Linked DNA regions of Arabidopsis thaliana. The protein of the gene in region 1 interacts with the protein of each later gene in a pairwise test. Each region holds a gene or a part of one and is shown on either strand. Other genes may lie near its edges.

Region 1 (7,822 bases):
GCATTAAAGAGGAGATTGAAAGACTTTTAACGAACTCGTGAAGATGTCCATTGGAAAAACAATTAACTTCACCTACTCTTTCACCTATCCCATGTTCTTATCTTTAATGCCTTCAATTTTATCTCCCTTCCCAAAATACCCCTCATACTAGCCCTAAATCACTTAAAAACCTGCCCCTCCGATCTTTCTTGACATACAAGAACACAACAGAAAAGGGAACCCTAAAAGTTATTATCTTATAAGCTACTTTTGGAGATATCTTCACGGAACTGAACAAACCACTGTGGGGTTGTTGTATCTGAAGAGTGGCTCTCACGCCGTTCTTCCCCTTCCTGTACTTTTGCAGGCGACGGTAACTTCTTTGGAGGTGGAGACGGGACAAGTGAGAGCAGAACCCTAGAGACCTCCTGCATGGTGGGTCTCTCCAAAGGATTTCGCTTGGTGCACAAGAGAGCTAGCTGAAATGTTTTCTTGATGTGTCCTGAGTCCATGCAAGTCACTGAGACCTCTGCATCAACAGCTTCCATTACTGTGTTATCATCCGCCTTTGATAGAATCTGCAACAAAAAAGTTAATGATATCAAATTGTTTCCAAGAATAAACTTGTGAAACACTTTATACTCAAATTCATACCATTTGATGCAAGTTGGCCTCGTTATCCACAGCCTTCTTGCCGGTTAGAAGCTCAAGAAGGACAATACCGAAACTGTAGATATCAGACTTCTCGTTCAGACGCGAAGTTCGAGCATACTCTGGGTCAATATATCCAATGGTTCCAAGAACATAGGTTGAAGCATAAGTTTTGGTGGCTGGTATGCTCTTGGCAATCCCAAAATCTGACAAACGCGCTTCGAAATTCCCATCAAGGAGTATGTTTGATGACTTGATGTCTCGATGGATTATCCTAGGTGTGCAGTCATGGTGAAGATATGCAAGTCCTTGCGCAGCTCCAACAGCTATCTTCAGCCTTGTTTCCCAGTCAAGCTTCACCTTCTTCCCAGGCCCTGCATCATACAATCACTACGTTTAAGTCTTCCAAAAGTAGAAAACTGGCTGAAAAGAACGTAACTGGTCCAAGAGAAGAAGAATAGCAAACCATGGAGAAGATCCCAAAGAGAGCCATTTTCCATGTAGTCGTAGAAGAGGAGGTTGCCAAAGGGAGATAAGGCGTATCCGTGCAAGCTTACTATGTTTCTGTGTCTGATGCTCCCAATGGTCTCGAGCTCTGTTTCAAACTCGCGGAAGTTGCTGGGATACTGATTGTAGATTCGCTTAATGGCAATAGGTCGGGAAGTTTTGGAGGTGCACTTGTAAACTGTGCTAGAAGCACCGTATCCAATGATGTATTTCTCATCGAGGTTTTCTGTAACTCTCATGATATCATCAAACGTGTGAATAGCCATGTCCATGTGAAGAATCACCAGCTTCGTTGACCCTGAAGGATCCATACAAGATATATCATAATGCTGTTGTGAATCTTAATGAACGAAAGAGAAGAGATCATAAACTATGAGACCAAGACCTTCAGGTTGTTTTGAAGAGCCTTTCAAGACTGGTTTCTGCTGCTTTGACTTGTAAACCGCAATGAATATCATGCATATGAGAGTGATGAAACCGAGAACCATACAAATCACGGCAACTCTGGTGAATACTGGTTGGTCAAGAGCAAGAAATGTAGTGAGAGATATGTCAGCTAAAAACAATGCAATAGGATAAATGCAGATTCATATACCTTGTGACTTAGGTAAAGATGGGCCACAGATTGATCCAACCCAGTTCCCGCAGAGAAATGGATTTCCAAAGAAGCTATAAACGAAAAGGTATATTTGGTATACTGATTATATGAAAAGCTAAGACAGGTAACAATATGGCAAAGGTGATACCTGGCCGGGGAAAAACGTGTAAAGTTCTTCATAGGTGGGATTATTCCAGAAAGATTATTGAAGGAGATGTTCCTACAATGTATAAAGAACGAGCAGGAAAAATATATGAATTCAGAAATGATCATAAGATTATCTGAGAGTACACATCTTGTTGTAACAAAGGAACACGTACAGATTGGCAAGACTGAAGCAGTTAGTTAGCTGATCAGGGATTTTCCCATGAATCTTGTTGTTGTTCAGTATCCTGTACATTAAAGAAGCAAAGAAGAATTATTTATATGCATTATACGGTAAATTGCAGAGGAGAAGTGATGGTTTACTTACAGAGAGTTTATGTTCTGCAACTGGCCAAGTTCAGTTGGAATAACACCGGCAAGAAAATTAAATGACACATCGCTGAGAAGGATGGAGAAAAGTTTGTAAGTAGGAAGATTTTATCATAACAGAAGAAATCTAAGCATAAGACAAGCCTTACATGATCTGAATGCTTCGGAGGTTCCCGAATTCTGCAGGCAATGTGCCATTCAGATGATTTCTGCTCAAGTTTCTGACAATTAAAACAAAACTCAAGTCAACAAATCTGAGAGAGTTAATGCAAAGCAGTGCAACTTTAGGGCTTGATGAAGACATACAAGATGAGAAGATGCTCAAGATCACCAAGTGTTAATGGAATTGAGCCTGAGAAATTGTTGCCAGACAGATCCCTGAAACAAAGTTTGTATGAGTTGGTAGTTGGTACACATATCAGTAGGTAACTAGGCGGAACATGGATGTAAATCAGTAGAAAATAACATACAATGTATCAAGATTGATGATATGGCCAAGCTCAGCAGGTATTTTGCCCTTGAAACTGTTTGAGGAAAGATTTCTGCAATTTACAGCATTGAATCAAGATTTACACAGACTAATAGTTCGAATACATAATCATACTGTACATGCAGTCATTGAAGCTTACAGATAAGTCAAGCTTCCAAGATTCCGGAATTCAAGTGGTACAGCTCCACTCAAGAAGTTCCCATGAACATTGCTGAACACAATAAAAGCACAATAAGTTTTCATTAAGATAAGAAGAAGAAAAATAGAGAGAAGCATAAAATGGGAAAGGGTTCATATCATATCTTACAATTGATTCAAGGCAGCACAGGAACTAATGTTAGATGGAATCAGCCCTACAAGATTGTTGTTCGCAAGATTCCTAGATGGCAAAGTTACATCAACCAGCTTTTCACCTAAGATAAAAATTTAAGTATACTGAAGGATAAAAACTCACAGTTCGAACAATTGTTCCAGCTTCCCAAGCTCAGGTGGGATCTTTCCCACTAGTTCATTATCATTTAGTTGCCTGCGAAAGAGTAAACCCTCATAAGATCAAGTATTGAGAAGAACAGATATTGGAGTTTCAAGTTCTCAATCTTACAAATAGCTGAGTCGTGACATATTGCCTAGCTCGGGTGGGATTTGTCCAGTGAGCTTGTTGCCATGGAGATACCTATTTTCAAGAAAAGACATTATCCATATATGTGAAGATCTGAACATATGCATGACACAGAGGGAAGAAAAAAAAAGGGACTCACAGTTTTCCAGTGAATGACAGATTCCCAAGTATTGGTGGAATAGGCCCAGTTAATTCATTGTCACTCAAATCCCTGCGCATTGGATAAGTTTATTTCATTCAGTCAGAAGAGCAAGAAACGAGAGTAGGAAAAAAGCAAGCATTTGAATATGAAAATGACATACAATACAGCAAGAGCCTGCATCAGACCAATCACTTCCGGAATTCTGCCAGTCAACTTGTTTCCTTGAAGTGACCTGCAAGAGAACCCATCACCACTTAACCATATTGACATGCTTTAACAAACCACACAAAAGTGTAAGATGGTCTTAACAATACTTACAGAGTAGCTACTTGGAGGAAACCAATATTGTAGGGTATAACTCCGGTAATCTGATTATAAGATACATCCCTGAAAATGCAAATGACGAATAAGATCACTCGAGTTCTGTGCTGAATATTCATTCCTTAAGGAGAAGACACATACAAGATCTCAAAGCTTGTGCAATTGCCAATGCTCTCTGGGATAGTTCCAGTAAGGTTGTTGCCTCTCACATCACTAACAACAACAAACATTCACTTATAAATTACTCGAAATCTGAGGTTGAGAGTAAAAGAAAATAAAGAGCTGAACCGGATTCACTTACAAGTACCACAGACCCGTCAGCTGACACATATCAGGAGACAATGTCCCAGTTAACATATTCCCACGTAAACCGCTGCAAAATGAATACATCACAATCAGAACATAAATCTCTGGATGCCTAGACTTAAGATAAGTAGATGAACTACTTACAGATACTGTAAAACTTCATTCCAGTAGAGTAACCTTGGTATCTCACCAGTAAGCTGGTTTCTTGCGAGGTCACTGCAAAATCATGAGAATAATCTATTATCATTGCAATGATCCCTTTGCATTAAATAACCTGCTTCATAGATAGAATATTATCTGATTGAAACTCACAGGGTCTTAAGGTTTGGAATCTGAGTTAAGGTTGCTGGTATTGGACCAGTGAGCTGATTATTCTTTAGGTTCCTGCATTAGAATGAAACAGTTGACAAAAAAACGCCAAAATCAGGCAAAGATTACACACGAATGAGAGAGATAAGAAGACATACAGAAACTCCAGCTGTTTGAGTTTAGAGATTGAAAACGGTATGTCTCCAAACAACAAATTGGTGGAGAAATCCCTGAAACAAGAAAGGTTTTTGATTATATAATAGAGATAGATTAAGTTCTCATTAACATGAAACTACAAGCATCAAACAAAACTTACACATAAGCAAGAGAAACACAGTTTCCAATCTCATCTGGAATTTGACCACCCAATTTATTTCCTTGCAAGTCTCTGTAATTAAGAAAGACCAGAGCTTCATAAGGATTTAACACCATGTTTCTTCTCAAACATACAAGTAAAAGAGAGAAGAGAAACGAACATTGATTGCAGATTCATCAAATCTCCAAGGGCAGATGATATCTCTCCACCAAGATTCAGGTTTGACAGATTACTTCCAACATAAAAAAAAACAAAGGCAAATCAGAAAAGTCTGAAATCAAAGAGACAGCACAACAATACGGAATGAGATAAAAAAAAAATCCTTACAGAGAGACAACATTGAGGCTAACGTTATCACAGAAGACACCTCTCCAAGAACAAAAGTCGTGGTTATGAACATCGTCCCAATCAAGAAGCATATTCGCCACGTTGCTGAATGAAGCCTTTATCGCCATCAACGCTTTTCCTGTGCAAAATCAAAAGCTTTTTGAAGTCAATAAACAAATCAAAAAAAGCTTATTTAATCATTTGACACTGATGATAGTCAAATGGTAAAATATGAACCACATGCCAAAAACTAAAACCCCACTAGATCATTAGTATAATAAACTCAACTGTGAAGTGAGCTAGGTCACAAATTATTATCATATTTCCAAAAACACTAAAGTAAGTTTTTTTTAAGAACGAATCAAATGACTTTTGCTCTCTCAGGAACAGTCACTGTTTAGATAGACAGATAAACAGATATGATATCTTCAAAATCGGAAGAAAGGTTACAAATTTATAAAAATTCAAGTTCTCTGGAAAAAAAAGAGAGAAATCTCTCTGGCTCATGGAACAATAGAGAAACAAAAGAGATTTTGAAAGAGCTAGAACCTTCGTTGTTCATTGGAGAAACAGAACCAAGTAGCATGAAAACCACCATCCCCAGACAAAAAAACAAGCCTTTCATGGTCTCTATCCTTCTCATCTTCTTCTTCTTCTTCCTCAAGAGTAACACCACGAAACCCAGAAAACAAGTAACAACCTTTTTTGGTTAAAGACCTCTTTTTCTGTTTAGGGAAAAGTCAGATCCTTTGAAGCTTTGTAGCAAGAAACGAAATTCAAACAAAGAGCAAAAGAAGGGTACAAAGTCGTTCTGCCATTGTTGGGAGAGACCAAAGGAAAAGAGAGAGGGGACCGACACAGGAGATTAGCGTGAACTGGAAGGAAAACAGAGCAGAGATGTTTAAAGAAGAGAGAGAGAAAGAGAGGACAGTCTACATTACTAGAGGCTGAGCTCCGACGCCATGAGAGAGAGAAACTTTAGTACCCTCCTATTAGACAACGACAAAATAATGTCAGTAACATATATACATACATTACTATCATCACTTGTTAAACCCTGCTAAAACATCTCCGATCATCTTAATGAGACAGTGATCGAAATGATTTTTTTTTGTTTTTTTAGTACTTAACGGTAAAGTAACGGCGTTAAACGGAGATTTATTAGGCCGTATGATTTGACGGCGACGGTTCTAAGAAGAAACGCCGTTTTCCAATGCAAAGGTGAAAAAAGAAGAACGTCTTTTAAGAGTCCGGTGAAAAGACATTCCTTTGCTGGGTAAAATCCCGTTGACGCGCGCGTGCATCATTATTAAATTTGATCCAACGGTGGATAGAGAAATCCTATCGTGGACTGCGATGTAGAGAATCAAATTATGCTCTTCCTTGTGATTTTTAGTTAATGCTTTGATAGTGATTGGGTGAAAAAGATGCCACAAACCGGATTGGTTTAGTACTATCCTTTTATCGATTTGAAAATTTTTCTTCAGCTTTCAATATTTTTTACAGTTTTTCATGGTTTTATTGCAACATATTATCGATCAGAGTTGTCTCCTTTGATAAAATCTTTCTATTTCTACCTTGTAATTAGATTGATTAATTTTGGGGTCGATATGGTACCACTAGGTTGAATAAGTTGGTAGAACTGTAGATTGTAATAAATAAAAAAGTAAAAAAAAAAATGTAATAAAAAATGAAAAAAAATGAGCAGTAATTTCACTGTGGATTCAGTGTTAAACAAAAAACACAAGAGCAGAGATCGTGTCTAAAGCTATGCCTCCGTATAAAGCTGTTACTCTTTCTCTATGGAAGCTATCTTCATTAAGCAATTATTTGTATACTCTTTTAAAATTTGTAGGCAAAAGTCAATGTGATCATGAGAATTTTACATGTTAGCTTCAATCAATATGATAAACGCTCAGCTGATTACATGAAAACTATGCCGATCCATAGTTAATGAATATTAGTATTTGTTTTGAAGCTAACATGTAAAAAAAAACTCATGATCACATTGAAAATGAAAACTAAGGTACTGAAGTGACTGATCAAGTTCAAGTCAGAACGTAGGGTCCAAAAGATATCCGAGAAATATTGGTCAAACCCCGACCGTCCGATTGAAACGATGTTTGATCTCGTTACTACTCGGTTGCCCTAATGCTTTGGCAGCTTCCTTTGTGCCAAAATCTCATATCTCTCCTCTTTCCATATTCCGAATCCGACATCAAACACAATGCCAAAAGATGATTTTTTCAATATTAAAATTTATATGGTGGTAACGTAGAGAACAGAAAAATATATATCGAGTTACGTTGGTCCTCTTAGCTTAATATGGACCGACCGTATCTTCTTCCTTGCTGGTTCCGATCTTGATTCTTCTATGTTGTACTACCTACTATGGTCAAACTTTTTGATATATGTGTAAAAGTATGTATTAGTAGATTATACCATAACATAATTCTCCCAACGAAAAATGCCGTTTAATACTTTACTAAAACATTATACTGGCTAAACTAATTAAACTAATCTTTGTAATTTAGCTGAATAACCAGTAATTTTTCTTTCAAACTGTGAAATTATAGAAACTTAAGTAGTGGAAACAAACTGCGACAGTAAAATTATATCAGTAGACTCGGTGACCATAAAGATTTATGTAAATCCACAAAAACGTAAAAGGAGACGGGGGCTCGTATATCCACAAGATTTATATAAGTCTTGTGGAGGTTCAGCTGTATAAGCAACTCTAGGCTTTTAGACTCGAACGGTGCATGGCTCTAATATGTAAGAAG
Region 2 (3,312 bases), on another chromosome or scaffold:
AAAAGGGAGATGTGGGACTTTGCAATAATAAGTGGATACTTGTCTTGTTCAATCGTTTCATTAGGGGGATTAAAACAGCATTCTACTGTGTGTTTCTGCATCTAGCTTGATTAAAAAACAATTGATTTATGCAGGAAAAGTGTGAAAATCTAGAGGATGCAGGGAACGAGTTGATCCTTGCTGATGAGGAGATGGTGCGTTTTCAAATAGGAGAAGTGTTTGCTCATGTGCCGAGGGACGACGTAGAAACAAAGATAGAAGAGATGAAAGAAGCGACCTGCAAAAGCCTTGAGAAACTCGAGCAAGAGAAGGAATCAATTGTAACACAAATGGCAGCGCTGAAGAAGGTATTGTATGCTAAGTTCAAAGATTCTATCAATCTTGAAGAAGACTAGTTAGTAGTTATTCCCAACTTTGTTTTTCTTCTATTGCATCAGTTTATGATTCTACTGTGAGTGTAGACCAAAGGATTCTTGAATTTAACATACTGGTTTTGTTCATTATGAAATTTCATCTGGTTAATGCATACTTTTCTTTTTCTATCGGAAATTATGTTTTTGGCAATTCTATAAAATACCATAACACCAATTTGTTTTTTCCCAGAATTTGTATACATTCAAACAAAATGAAACACACACGCCAAAATATAAATACAAGAATCTTTGGGAAATCCAAAATACAAAGCCCTAAATTGATTCCCTTAGCTTCTTCAATCAAAAACCCAAGAAATTACGAGTAATTCTCCAAACCGGTTTACTCAAATTGGGGTATAACTCGACGGTGGCCGGTTACCAGAACCGGCAGACACCAGGCCACCACGGCGAGCACTTTCTTCATCAAGAAACAAATCATCGGTATTACGAAAAGCGCCGTGAGCTCCGACGATGAGCAAACCAATGATCAGCGAAACCAGAACGTTTTCGCCCACATCTGTATATACCAATGCCAAAACCGTTACCAAGCTGAGTAAAACCAGCACGATCTTGTCATCTACTTCTTTCCCCGAAATCACAATCGAATCGTTTGCGTCTCGAGAGAAATAGAGAAGAATCCATCCGATGAAGACGACGATGAAAGCGATCATAGACATCGGATGGTAAATAAGGCCGAGGAAAACAATGGCGAGAACGGCGAGAGCGTAATTTCCACGGAAATAAGAGATGTTGTGCTTTAGATGCGCCATGGCTTCATCATACCCGCGAGGGAGAGAGAGCGCGGACAGATCGAGAATCTCTCGCCATGGACGGAGCGTCGTGATCATCGATTGCGTCGTCTGCTTGGCGCGTGCACTCAACGTCCCGATGATTGTGGTGTTGGAAGTGGAAGAAGGACCGACTCCTCCACCACCAGCGCCGCCATAACCGTACGGCGGAGGTTTCTGATTCATCGGAATTGGTTGATTTTGTGTTTGAAAATAACACAAATCTGTGGTCAAATGGCAAAACCTTGGATTTCAAAGAGTCCATGTGGAATATGGGATGATGGGAGGGACTTGTTCGGTGATTATTATTTTCTTTTGGGACCTTGTAGTTTTTTTATTATTACAAATAAACCATAAACAAATCAACTTTTACCGATCGCCTCTATTTCCACATAATCATGAATCGTCATAGTTTTTGTAAAATTACAGAATTGTGATGGATCTAAGTCTTCTAATGATATTTTTGTTTTTGCTGATCTTCTAATCTTTAATCGCTAGAGAAGAGATATCGTTATTAATGGATAAAAAATATGTTGAAATCTTTCGAACCAATAGGTTCTCTTTAGTGAGTATCTGACTGAATAAAAAATACCAACATTTCACGTCGGTAGGCTTCTTAGTGATGCCTGAATTATACAGAAGAAATTGACCGCCAATTTTCATATATACAAGAAAAAAAAAAAACAAGTAGAAGCTTCTTCATCATCATTTATCTCTTTGCTTTGGTTTCGATTGGTTTAGGTCTAGGAGAAGAGACTGAGCCACCACCACCACCAAGTGCTGCAGCTGCTGACTCCACATGTGTGAGCAGATACTCGTAGATCTTCTTCCGTAATCGATCGATTGTTTCCTTAGAGACTTCTTGTAACCCTTCTTCATCCTCTTTCGATCCAATCTCGTCTAACCAATCATTCACACTCTTCAGCTGAGACAGCATCCCCGCAATCTGCCCATTATCAGACAGACTGAGACTGGATGATGTAATCACGTCAGCGTCTAAGAATCTCTCTACGAAACCCAAAAACCAATCTTGTGAAACCATTTGCAACTTCTCTGCCAGATCAGTTGCCTCGTTTAGACCATTCCCTTTCACCCAGTTTAACGGTGGAGACTCTGACCCTGCTACCGAGGTGGCTTTCTGGCTGCTACTGTTCTCCCTGTGTTTACGGATCATTCCTTGTGCTACGAGTTTAGATCCAATCGTTGGCTTGTTTTGAATATTCCCACGGGTTTTACTAGAGGAATTATTACCCGGGCTCTCGAGTATGATCACGGGTTTGCTCCTGGAGGCAGCAAGTTTGGCTTGTTTGCTGGAGTAGACAGAGAAGGGCGATAAGTTAGTGACTAACGCAGCTTGGACCCATGAGGCTGCCAATTTCTGCTTTTCCGATGCCGCTTTTATAGCTTCCTCGGATCTGTTTTCTTCATTATCTGGGGAGGACATCAAAGAGAGTAATTTGGACAATGACTCTGTTATTACTTGGACGTTTTTCAAACCGGAATGGAGCTTCAAGAACTGCTCAACGACTGGCAATGGATCATCTTCCTTCGCCGTTGACAAAAGATCGGAGTACATACTACAAAAAGGAAAAGCAGAACAAAGTTCAGAAACCACCAAGGCAGTAACAATAACATTCAGATACAAAAAACATTTATGTTTTGTCCCTCAAACATCCAAAGCCGGCCTGAATAAAACTTGGTTAAGATATTACGCACATGAGGCACTGAAGTAAGCTCTCGGAAGCAGAGGCTTCTTGCAGGGCCTCTATTGCGACTACTTGAGCAGCTTCTCTATGCCTCAATACTTCCTGCAAATATTGATAGCAGCAATGACTCAATAAGCTGTCTTAATATTTAATCACGATGTCAAAGACCAAAACATAAGATGCATATGCTATACTAAGAGGTTCTCTTCAATCACCAGAGTAAATATGTTAGTTTGGATGATCGAATTTCTAAACTGCTTGTTTTGAAGATGAATTTTCTTAATCACTAGAAATGCTTCAAAGCCTATTAATGAAGCAAGCACATATAAGGATCCAAGAGCAGTCAAGGCCATACCTGTCCCATCCTCGAAAGAGATGGAGGGAGTGAACTCCATTGGATATTGG
Region 3 (4,974 bases), on another chromosome or scaffold:
AATGAGAAAGACTGATTTATCAACAAACTCAAAGAAATCTCTTTTTTTGAAAACTATAACCATAGAACATCATAAAAATCAAAACTTTAGTTTATAAGAAGCCAAAGAGACAGAAACACCTAAACCATCTTGAGCTTCATCTTCTAGCTTCGCTCGTTTAGCCTGAGAAGAATCAGATGTTTGATTGCTATCATCCACGATATTTCCATTAAGCTCAACTTCGTCGAGCTTTCGCTTGAGATCGACAGGCGGCGTAGAGATAACAACAAAATCTTCCTCCGTCATCTGGAAACGAATCGTCCGGCGAGGAATTTAGGGAAAGCTGAGTACTGTAGGGTTTGGGGAAGAAGAGAATTATCTCCGGCAGTGAAAAGAGTTTGGGTTGCGACTCTGAACGGTGGTGGAGAAGTAACGTTTAAGGCTTTAACGTCTATTTATAATGTTCGGGCTTTTATTGGGCCTAAAAATGGGCTACCAGTTTTTTTTTTAAAGTTATCAAAAATAATGATGTTTTCTTTGTTGATCGTCGAGGGGATGTTGTTGAGACGATAGCTTCTACTCAAATTTTGTAGAATCGACAACATAGTAGAAATTTGTAGGGTCTTTATTTCCATTGTAGTGGTTTTATCGACTTTGGACTATGTCCTCCTCTCTATAATAGTTTACAAGCTTGAAACCCCAATGAAATCCATAACAAAACCCACATATAGCTTATGAAATTCTTAAGATCAAACATAGAAAAAGGCTTACCAACTGGGATTTTCAGTCTCTGAACATACATAAATCGCTACGGTAATCACTCTGCAGTGTATCCCACGGTTGGGACACGACTCACATACGCGATTTCATAAGATGGTAAACTACTACTTATGCATAGGTACGACATAAACACATGTATTTGTATTCTTACGGTACATAAAGTGATGGACATTGTATGATTGATTCTCCACTGTGTCTAGGTATTGTAGAAAACGGCTTCTCATCTAAGGCTCAAAACCGGCCATGCGCCAGGCGATGGTAGAGCAGGGCGGATCACAGGGACCCTTCTTACCTCTGTGAACACTTCATTGAGTCGAGCAGCCTGACTCATCACCCGCGACGCCTTCTGCACAGATCATAAACAACCCAAGACGTGATAATGATAGAAGTAAACCAACACCAAACAAATACCAACCAAGCAAAGAGATGTGCGCTAAGGGAAAATATCAAATCACAGCATTTTCAGCGGATGATGCCTCAGTATTTTTGTACTTAATTCAGACAGATTACAAGAACATATTAACTACAAAATCTATATCTTAGAGGGGGGTATTGGACATAAATTCTAGATTTTCAGGTATAATAAAAGAATTTCGAATCTTTCTTCTCAATTCAAATAAATATTTTGCAGTATTTTTAATAGAATTCTACTAGAATTAAGAAGATAAATTACTGAAATCTTTTGTTCCACAATGCTCTTTATCGGGACAGCCACCATGCCCAATCTCTAAAAACTGTACTTTTTCCTTCACAAACCTCTTAACCCAGAAACAATCTACGTTGACGTTTACATGAAATGGAAGAGATCCATATTTTGACAACAACGACAACGACGTCATCACAACCTCCGCTCATCTGCTCTCTATAGATTAACGCACTCTCCTCATATATAATCGAACGAATGATGATCCGAAGAATAAACCGGATCGAAATCACAGATTCTAATAAATGTGTTAAACACTCTCCCTCAGATTTGAGAATTTTTTTTGTATGGTTGAAGCAAATCGATGAAAGAGAAAAAAAGGATGGATGTGTTATATTCTATCCAAATCTCAACTCAAAAACTCAGAATTTGTTCTTCACATTTTAGACCAATTTTTCTATTAAATTCTTGTGAAGTAACGTTGTCAAACAAAACTACCGAAAACTGAATAACACTTGCAACTAATAGAATTAAGAAATGAGCAAGTTAAATAACACAAGAATTTAAAAGAATTTGTGAAATGTCTAATTGAATAACACTAGAATTTAAGATTCTATTGAAGTCTATCAAATTCATGCGTCCAATACCCCCACCTTAATATAAGGCAGGACAAGACAAGAACTAAACTAAACTTGAAATTCTACGGCTCAAGTCAGACCAATTGCATCAACACAACATAGAGTGTAGCTAACTCCTAAAACGTATCAATCTAGACCAGCTTACCAACTTCAAGCAAAATGAAAACACAAGGGTCAATGATAATATAGTGTACCTTATCGTCAATCGTAACTTTAAGATGGAACCTTTGAGCTTTCTTCTTCATATTATACAATCTACGTCCCAAGAGAACCAAACCCATCACAGCAGCAGCCATAGAGACAGACCAAACCGGACCAATCCTAAACACAGAGTACTTAAGAAGCACAAATGGCATCTTCCACCACACAGTCTCTCTACTTTTACCCTCACCACCAGAACTCACGCCTCCAACTTCCACAGTATCTCCTCCACTTCCCTCAATTACTTCACTAGAAGCAACTACACTATCAGAAACAACTTCTTTTTCACCATTCACAACCCCAGAATCTCGAGAAACCAATTCATTTCCCCCTAAATCAGAACACAACTTGCTCGAATCCTCAATAGGTTCTTCAACACCCGATTCGTTCTCACCGTGCCTTCCATCAACGAATTCTTCGAGATTCTCTGTTTCATAGTGAGATACGGTTCCACCAGTTAATTCAGTAGCAGCTTCGCTCTCAACATATTTCTCATTGGCAGCTTCAAAATCACTAAGCCTAACCTCACCATCACCCAAAATTCCAGTTTCTGAATCATAAACCCCAAATTCATTTCTGACACAATCATCACCCGATTGACTAACACTGAACTGATCCAAACCAGAATCAACACTAACCTCACCCGGATTCAGACACTCCGACCCGTAATCAACCCGAAAAGAATCAAAATAACCCGATTCAATCACCCGATCAGTAGCAGAGAAATGATCAGAAAGAATCATACCGTCATCGATTACGCTTGAACTCTCTAATTTCGTCTCCGATGTGATTGAATCAGTTGATTCTGTATCAGAGCCATGATGAAGAAGCTCCCAATCATCCATGATGATCGAATTCGAAGATTTCAGATTGGGATTGCAATAATCAGAAACCCTAATGGATAAAACCCCAAATATTGGAAAAGGATCGCAACAAATTAGAGCGGTTGATGATGGAAAAGAATGGTTCTTATCCACTTTGAGAAAGTAATTACGTGGAGGTATCTAATTGGTTGCGTGTCAATCTCAGTCCTCAACTAAATTTTTTGGCATTAAAGTTTAGTAGATTCAGAGAACTATAGTATTTATTCATTTTGTTCTTTCATTTTTATTTTATTTTTTAAAACGATTTAATTAGGATTCGGCAATAAATCGTATGGTGCGGATCAAATGAATTAAACAAATATGTATCGGTTAAAATAGAGTAGACGATGTAAGAAAAATATATATAATCAAGATTCAAACGGTTGAGGTGGGTTTTGCAAATAAATCCATCGGTAGATTGAAATATTTTCTTATTTATTATTTATAGATTAGTATTTATAATAGTACTGACCAAAAATATAGAAAAAAAAAATCGGTAAAAACTTTAGACCGATTTTATATAGAAATAAATTTAGTTTATAACGGATTATTGTCCGCTCCAAAATTAAATGGTTTAGTCTCTAATAGTTTAGTTTGTTTCGAAAAGAATGGTTCTTATCCACTTTGAGGAAGTAGTTATGTAGAGGTATCTAATTGGTCACGTAACATTCTCAGTACTCAACTAGATCTTTTGACATTAAAGGTTGGTAGATTGAGAGAAGTATGGTATTTATTCCTTTTGTTCTTTCATTTTTTTGGTTTTTCACAATGATTTAATTAGGGTTCACGACGAATCGTATGGTGCAGATCAAATGAATTAATCAAATACTAGATGATTTACCCGAACTATGTACAGGGAGAAATAGTTATATGAAATATATAAACAAGTTTTTGGAAACAGATTTTATATTATCACTTGATATATAAGTGTGAATATTTGAATATGATTTAGTAACTGATATATTTTGGAGATTTTATTAGTTAGGAATTAGGATATTCTATATTTGGAATAAGATTTTAAATTAAAATATTGACCCAAAAGAAAATCTGAAATATCATTCCTATAATTCAGAAATATATTCGAATATTTTTTGTATTTTATAAGATTTTATTTTGGAAACAATTCAATATAAAAACTGAAAAGAGTATGAATAATTATGTTTTAAACGTAATAAATTTTTGATTATCTTTTATTATTCTTCATAATTCTATGTAGTTAGGATTGATTTATTGCATATCCCTTATTTTATTAATCAATTTATATTGTTACGATAAGGTTTTGGGTTGTAAATAAATTTTAACTAAAATGAGTAAATGACTAATTAAATTGAATAAACTGTGTAAAAGTTTTAATAAATTGATAAGGTAAAAATTTGAAAAGAAATAATATTGAAAGTAATCAGTAAGCGGATACATTTTTAACATAGATTAATATTGAAATATTGTTCATAGTGAATGTGTAATAAATGAAATGTTACTAACTAATTTATGTAAAACTATGTTCCGAATATATTCAAGAATCATATGGGCTCACATATACATTTAGATTTTTTGCAATTTATAACAAAAAAATAGAATGTCATATATGTTAAAATTCTAAATGTTTTCTATAAAACCTAAAAAAATAAAGTACGAAACATATAATAAACATTTATATTATATGTTGTTCATCATAATTTATGATATATACTTTTTACTTGTTTGCTCAAATATATATGGTTTTTTGATTAATTTTCTTTATTAATTGCTACTCTCTTAAATGTAGAGGAAAAATATGCATAAGTACCACTAATGGCATTATATGTAATTAGTCTAGTAAATATTGGATAACTATTAAGTTTGTTGAAAGTTTTTCTGGTTACGACATGTC

Evidence for each region. Proteins that work in one complex are often made in the same cells at the same time.
Region 2: the proteins of ERL2 (region 1) and PRA1.E interact in a protein complementation assay, tested with the Arabidopsis thaliana proteins (one large-scale study listed by BioGRID).
Region 3: the proteins of ERL2 (region 1) and AT4G10080 interact in a protein complementation assay, tested with the Arabidopsis thaliana proteins (one large-scale study listed by BioGRID).

What each region holds. Positions count from the first base shown.
Region 1 is NC_003076.8:2,227,551-2,235,372, forward strand, and holds the start of ERL2 (ERECTA-like 2), read right to left. Parts: upstream 6,038-7,822; 5' UTR 5,683-6,037; coding exon 5,589-5,682; intron 5,179-5,588; coding exon 5,040-5,178; intron 4,978-5,039; exon of another isoform or gene 4,945-4,977; coding exon 4,873-4,944; intron 4,785-4,872; coding exon 4,713-4,784; intron 4,627-4,712; coding exon 4,555-4,626; intron 4,472-4,554; coding exon 4,400-4,471; intron 4,304-4,399; coding exon 4,232-4,303; intron 4,155-4,231; coding exon 4,083-4,154; intron 3,995-4,082; coding exon 3,923-3,994; intron 3,848-3,922; coding exon 3,779-3,847; intron 3,693-3,778; coding exon 3,621-3,692; intron 3,530-3,620; coding exon 3,458-3,529; intron 3,373-3,457; coding exon 3,301-3,372; intron 3,226-3,300; coding exon 3,154-3,225; intron 3,079-3,153; coding exon 3,007-3,078; intron 2,911-3,006; coding exon 2,839-2,910; intron 2,752-2,838; coding exon 2,680-2,751; intron 2,588-2,679; coding exon 2,516-2,587; intron 2,431-2,515; coding exon 2,359-2,430; and 17 more. UniProt on the Arabidopsis thaliana protein: Receptor kinase that regulates inflorescence architecture and organ shape as well as stomatal patterning, including density and clustering, together with ERL1 and ER.
Region 2 is NC_003070.9:2,807,008-2,810,319, reverse strand, and holds PRA1.E (prenylated RAB acceptor 1.E), read right to left. Parts: upstream 1,561-3,312; 5' UTR 1,388-1,560; coding exon 758-1,387; 3' UTR 545-757; downstream 1-544. Other genes in the region: AIP3 (ABI3-interacting protein 3), read left to right, coding at 135-395; AT1G08760 (GPI-anchored adhesin-like protein, putative (DUF936)), read right to left, coding at 1,911-2,778, 2,918-3,009, 3,263-3,312. UniProt on the Arabidopsis thaliana protein: May be involved in both secretory and endocytic intracellular trafficking in the endosomal/prevacuolar compartments.
Region 3 is NC_003075.7:6,299,475-6,304,448, forward strand, and holds AT4G10080 (uncharacterized protein), read right to left. Parts: upstream 3,271-4,974; 5' UTR 3,087-3,270; coding exon 2,235-3,086; intron 1,106-2,234; coding exon 980-1,105; 3' UTR 545-979; downstream 1-544. Other genes in the region: AT4G10070 (KH domain-containing protein), read right to left, coding at 120-285.